2 linked regions of the Neurospora crassa OR74A genome follow. The protein of the gene in region 2 binds, or shares a complex with, the protein of the main gene of each other region. Links are inferred from orthologs where the notes say so. Each region holds a gene or a part of one and is shown on either strand. Other genes may lie near its edges.

Evidence for each region.
Region 1: the proteins of NCU02357 (region 2) and NCU03246 are in contact, whole or in part, in a crystal structure (PDB 4ZJ7), measured with the Saccharomyces cerevisiae proteins. The link is inferred for Neurospora crassa OR74A from reciprocal best matches to the Saccharomyces cerevisiae genes PSE1 and CDC14. Residues at the interface, in NP_014039.1 of Saccharomyces cerevisiae: Arg349, Asp353, Ser392, Ser393, Glu396, Cys429, Asn430, Gly433, Gln434, His470, Ala473, Ala474, Val476, Asn477, Gln512, Thr515; in NP_116684.3 of Saccharomyces cerevisiae: Gly547, Ser548, Ile549, Lys550, Lys551.

What each region holds. Positions count from the first base shown.
Region 1 is NC_026501.1:5,042,284-5,046,196, reverse strand, and holds the start of NCU03246 (tyrosine-protein phosphatase CDC14), read right to left. Parts: upstream 3,069-3,913; 5' UTR 2,523-3,068; coding exon 2,465-2,522; intron 2,245-2,464; coding exon 1,942-2,244; intron 1,881-1,941; coding exon 277-1,880; 3' UTR 1-276. Other genes in the region: NCU03245 (hypothetical protein), read left to right, coding at 3,891-3,913. UniProt on the Saccharomyces cerevisiae protein: Protein phosphatase which antagonizes mitotic cyclin-dependent kinase CDC28, the inactivation of which is essential for exit from mitosis. To access its substrates, is released from nucleolar sequestration during mitosis.
Region 2 is NC_026507.1:2,761,798-2,764,219, reverse strand, and holds the end of NCU02357 (importin subunit beta-3), read right to left. Parts: coding exon 1,210-2,422; intron 1,158-1,209; coding exon 947-1,157; 3' UTR 556-946; downstream 1-555. UniProt on the Saccharomyces cerevisiae protein: Functions in nuclear protein import as nuclear transport receptor. Serves as receptor for classical and arginine/glycine-rich nuclear localization signals (cNLS and rg-NLS) in cargo substrates.

The sequences.
Region 1 (3,913 bases), on a different chromosome or scaffold from region 2:
CTATGCCAGAGAGGCCGTCATGCGTGAAAAAAAAAAAAAAAAGAAGTGCTGATCATGCAAACGTGATGGTTAAAACAGTATGCTGCATCTCGCTCGCTGAATGCTCCAAGTTTGCTTGCTGCCACTGAGAAACCCAAGACTCCCAAAGGCATAACCCTATGCTCTTGAACGCACCTTTTCTTTTTGTATCTCAAATGAATTATGAAGCCAATGAATCCGAGCTTTCGTTTGTAACACATCAAGTCAAGTATAATCTTTTGACTCATGAGAATAGGGTCACATCCCACTTATTTTACGCATTGCCGATACAGCGGCCGGACTGGTTGTCGAGTTCCCTATACTCCCAACTCGTCCACTCGTCTTTCGAACACCAGCTTCTCTGACGCTCCCAGGTGGATGGCGTTTCGCACTAGTGTTGCCTCGTATCTTGGTCAAAACTCCAGACGCGGAACTAGTGCGTGGAGCGTGGTCATGGGCCTTGATTCGTGCTGCGGCAGTACCAATGTTCTCGATATCGTTCGATGCATCATTATCCATGACTTGATAAACAGTCGTTTTCGTGGTAGCGGTTTGGTGGGTGACAGACCGTTCGGGGGGTTGTCCTGGTGAAGTTGGAGCAGCAGACTGTCTTCGCCGAGATCTTCGAAGATTCCATTCCTCCTCTGAACTCGGCCCTCTTGAGCTCTTGTGAACTGTGATCACCTCGGTTGTCACTTCTGTCATGGGAACGGGTTCTTCCTCCACAGTGGTCTGAATAGGTCCCCGGCCATATCCTTTCTGGCGATCTACTGCGCCCCGCTGCGTCTTCCTTGGCTGTCCTGGCGTAGGTGCGGGGAGGTAATCCTCTTGTACGCCGATATGATTGTCACGCGCCGACTCCCGATCGATCTCGCCTAGCGGTGTCCGAACTGATCCTCTGTTAGAGGGTGTGGACACGCCATTTTTGCTAGAGCTACGACCAAGACTCGTCTTCGACACGGCACGGACAGGGGTGCTGGGATGCGCTGTCCCGTTAGCCTGAGCGGCGGCGGCGGCAGCGGCTGCCATTTCTTTGCGCAGCCTCCGCTCAACCCGCTCCTCAATCCACCACTCCCGGAAGATGCCCTGGTTCAGATGTAACCAGTGCTGCTGAGGCCCTACGACCATGCCTGGGCGCATGAAGCGCATGTAGGCAATGACCTCGTTTGCTGTAAATCCATGTCGGTAGATCAGGTAGGCACCGATGAGGCAGCCTGTTCGGCCGAGGCCAGCTTTGCAATGAACAGCAATGCCCTTCTTCCTAGAGATGGTTTCATGGGCCATGCGGATGAATTTCCGTACGGTCGAAAGGGTAGGACATGTTCCGTCCTCAAAGATCATGTCGATGTGGTTGATTCCTAGGGCTTCAAAGTATGAGGGATTGTAGAGCTGCGAGTTCAGCCTGACGACAAGGCCGATGTCTCGCTCCGAGAAATGCCTGAGAACATTTTTGAAGGGCTGCGGCAGCGTAGGATGTGCGTCGACGGCGGCTAGGGTCTTTGGCAGAAGTGACCACTGCTCGGTCCCCTCGGGGGTGGGAGCAACCGGGGTATGCTGAGGAGAGGCAAATGCCAGGAAGTTGGGTGTAATCCAGTTGAAGTCGCCGTGCTCAACTCTCTCAAACTTTTCGTACTCGTCAAGGTCGAATGTCTCCAACACGCAGCAGCCTTCCTCCTTGGCCTTCCAAACGCCGTACACAACGTCCTGAACCGTGATGCCGTAGTCGGCCTGGCTGTAGCCGGCGTCTCTGAACGGCATTAGAGGGGGGTCAACCTGGGCGACCGGCGCAAGAGCTAGATGCGGAGGCCACGATTGGATCAAAACCATGTAGCAAGCTAGTAGACAAGAGGCATTGGCACGACCTAAGGTAACATTGGTCAGCAATCTTTGCTGTTCTCGAGGAGGCGGACTTAGATGACCTACTGCGTGGATCGGCCCTGCTCCAGAACACTACCGGCCTGTCTTTGTTCTCCTTGGCCCCAAGAATTTCGTGGAACTGCAGGGCGAAGCGGTAAAGGTGGCCGATGTGGAACGGGCCAAAATCGTGGTGGAAGGCATTGTATAGAAGAGTATCGTCGACAGTGAAGTAGTATGGCTTCTTACGCTCCGTGACCTGGTCGATTGTTCGTTGAGAGCGCTTGCGCGGGGACCGTGGTTCAGGATCCGGGTAGGGAAACAAGGTATGCTCGGTAGGAGGTTCAGAGTAAGATGCAAGGTACAATCGGTCTGTAAAGGTTAGTATACTGTAAGGCAATTGCTGATATTGTAGAGGATATTCAAAGGTGCTCATATTGGGACGAGCAGCTCCGTTGCGGAGCGGTGAACATGGGATGCGGGTGGATCATAAACATGGAGTTTTCGGACAACGGAGCCAGAAGCAAAACAAAAAAAAAATTGTAGCTTCAATTAAGAGGACCGGAGCGGCGCACAAATAATCTACACGTACCGGGAATGTACTCGATGATTTGCCCCAGATTGCTGGAGTGTCTGGAGGAAGGAGCCATGGCGTCGTGGCCTGGGAGGCTCAAAGTCGACTGTTTATGTCGAGAGAGCGATTGGCGTTGCGACAATGCGCAGGCGCACGTACGGGAATAGTGATGCTGTGCAATGCAATGAGCTACGTATAGGGAGGCGGGAGCGAAGGATGTTAAAGTCCAATTCGATCTTTTGTCGTTTGAGGGCTGTACTTGAGGTCGGCCAAAATTATGGTCGGATTGATTGACGGGAAGAAGGTGAGGTCGAGATCGCAGATCGTTTGCGCGAGCGATTGTGTGCCAACAAGGGAAAACCAAGCAGCCAAGCTGGGCTAGGTAGCTATACCGCGAGGCAAGGGACTGTGTACTGCACTGCAGGTGCGGGGTGGGATGAAAGGGCCAAAAACAAGGGCCAAAGCCTCCAAAGAAGGACGAGAGGACACCGGCTGCGAGAATGCAATTCTTGTAAAGAACGAAGGCACCGGAGGCAGGAGAATTGAAGAAACAAAGGAGTGGGCAACTCGATGATGATGTGCGAGAGGAGGAGGTCAGAAAAGACCGGTGGGTATGAGCTGGTTGCGGAGAACAGGTTTTGTAGCAGGTACGGCCTTTACCGGTACTTACCAAGAGCGGTGTTTTTGCTGGCAAGGTTGTATGTCGTGTGTGTATTGTCATTGGCAGGGACCCTGGCGAACCGGAGAACGAGCGAGACCTTCACCTCACCTTCCATGCAGAGACCGCCTCCAAGTCGCAACTGATCTTGCCCGACCGCTCTGCCTGCGCCCGGGGTTTAGCGTGGGCCAGCGAAGAATTCGGGGGGCTTGGTATCTTCCAAAACAATTCACCGCCCAATAAGCGCGTTCAAAGCTCCATCTCACCCGCCGTTGTCCTGACAACCTTCTCTCTTGGCATCCGCAGTCGCGCCTGGACCAGTAACATCCAATCGCTTCGCTCTGACGGGAGATCCCCCCCCAGAGCTCCACTTTCCAGCTGAGGTAGAGAGGGAGGTGTTGCCGGAGCTTGTCCTTTTTCTGTAAAGCCGCCATGATGCCTTTGCGCCCAGCACACGGCAACAACCGAATATCGAAACTCGTTCCCTGTTCAGCCAGCCTGCCGCCTACGACCTTGCGATAACTGTAGACGATAGTAACATCACTGCGGAATTGCCAGTGTGAGATACAGTTTGAGGTTCCTACAGAGTTTCCCACAAGGGCCTGTTATCGGTCATCACAGCCCAGGCACACTCGCGGCGGTTGGAATTTGACATTCGTCATCGGGTAGCGCTTACCACACAAACTCCCCTGACAACCGTTAGGCGAGTGCCAGTCTGAAACCCTTTGGTTCACGACAACATATTTCTTGCAAGTGTTTACTTCGGGGTTATTAAAGACCGCAACCATGGCAACCGACGATAACTTCCC
Region 2 (2,422 bases):
TGGATGGACACTTGCGTATTATAGTGTACAGTACTAGGGCAAGATGATGTTTTTGGAGTACACCTATCGGATGGCAATAGACCTCGAGTACATAACCTTGCCGGTAGCGTAATACAGACATATGTAGTGTACACACACAAACGTAGAAAACAGCCAAGGTACAGATAGTGTCAGAGGGATGATGATATGACCATGGCACACAATTGAAAGTTGTAGTGTCCTATGCACCCATTCCCGTTCAGAACGGGGGACCCGGACCCAAGGTTTGTAAAATTGGTGTGGCTGCTTTAGTTGGACCCCAAAGAAAAGACCCCTGATCAGCCTCCATCTGGGTATGTATCGAGGGTACCATGTAGACTACAATGCCATACTGCAGATACCCGCCGCTATCAGATGCTGGTGGTCCATCAACTCCATTGTATTCTACCTATTCAAGGACCCTCGAGTACCTGTGAGCTTTTCCAACCAAAGACGCAACACATGTGCTCATGTAGCAGTAGCAGAGATCCAACCCTCCGATCTCTCCTGTATCCCACCCAAACTACTGGTAAAAGGCAAGATTGGAACGATCCATGTTACTTAGGTATCCTAGTCATTTACAAGTGTTTATGTGATTTTATACGTGTGTGATAAATGGTTACGTGCGCCGAAGGAACGTTATGGTGTGCATGGTATCTCCATCAAATTCACATTTCCGCTTCGACTCCTCTCGCCTTCTTCCCTACATGACCAAGGCCATCAACAGCCTGATTGCGTGCTCAAGTATTTCTCCACGCTCTTACCATGATTTCCCTACCAGTTCCTGTCGATCCCTTCTGGTTCCATGCCATCTATATCCTGATTTCCAAGTAGATCACCATCTTCCTAAGTCGACGTTTTGCTTTTCCTTCTCCTACGTCCATCAGCGATGTCATCTCTCTTCCACAGCCACTACCTCCGACACTTCTTAACTGCTAAACCGCTCCCGAATCAACTGCTGAGATTCGGGGCCAAATTGCTGCAGTACGGGGTCGGGCGAAGTACCGGTTGCTTGCAACAGGCTCTTGACAGCGGCAATCACGCGCGCGAGGGTCTGTCCGCTCAAAACGTCCACCTCAAGCGCCTGTGCGACGTAGTAGAAAGCTTTAGCGGGTTGCGAAATAACGACAGGATGTTGCCTATTTGCGGGTCAGTCGTTTCCAGTTCGCCATGTCAGGACAAGAGACTTACTTTTCAATCAGCTGGGTCATGAAAGCATACGCATAGGGCGCCGCTTCCTCGTCGTTCAAGACCGGCAGAGTCTCAAACCACTGTGTCGCAACCTGGTCGGGGTTGGCGACTTGAGAAGAGTTGAAATGCAGAATCTTGGCGATGGCAGCGCAGGCATTCTCCGTAGCGTACACATTGTCCTCGTTGCGCGCATCTGGGATCTGCGTAGCCTTGAAGAGAACTTCGACGGCTTGGCCCACCAACGGCGCCCAAGCCTGGCCGCCATGGTGGGCAGCCACACCGATGCCATACGCAGCCGCTTGACGAATAGCGGGAGAGGCATCCTGGCAGCCGAGGAGCAGAGGCTCCGAGATATACTGGGCGTAGTGAATGCTCTCAGCACCACAGTATTCTAGAACATCATCCATAATGCACAGTCCCCACTGTCGCTGGGTGGTATCATTCGAGCTCAAGAAGCTGCTGTAGGTGGGAAGCAGGCGGCTCCAAGCGCTCAAGAAGCTTGCGCCGTGGTACTTGAAAACAGCATGGAACGCCTTGTTCATGTCCGAAAGGAGAGTCTGGTCATCCTCAATGGCCATCTGCATCTCTTCCGACTCGTCCTCGCCATCTTCACCTCCTTGCTCCTCCTCACGAGCGGCTGCCCGATCCTTGTAATCCTCAAGAGTGGAGTGGACACCGTCGATGAAGCGGCCCATGTGCGTCTCATCGAGGCAGGCAGTGCCGATGACCTCGATGGACTCATAGAAGCATTGATACATCTCCGCGAGCGTATCAATGGCAGGCTCGGCGCTAAGAACGTCGAGGAGCTGAACGACGGTGCTGGTCCACAAGCCCTTGAGCTCGTTGGAGCCGGGACCGTACTGCTTCTTGTATGAAATGAGCAATTGCGGAACTAGCTTCGCAGACATGTACCTGACAGGATCGTGGAAGAAGAAGGCCAGACCAGGAAGAGCAATCTTCTCCATGATGTCTGCGACATAAGGCGCAAAGTCACCCTCAAGGACCTGAGCGTACACCACGAGCAGCTCGATGGCCATGTTCTTATCGTCCATGGTGCTGGTACGGATACCAATAGTCTTGCCACGGAGCGGGACAAGCTCCCACCCTTCCTCGGTCTGTAGCTGCTCAATCTGCTCGTCGTCTTCCAGAAGCTGGATATCGGCCTTGGCGCTAGCAAGCTCGAGGAGTGGCGGCATAACCTCGGGCAAGTAGG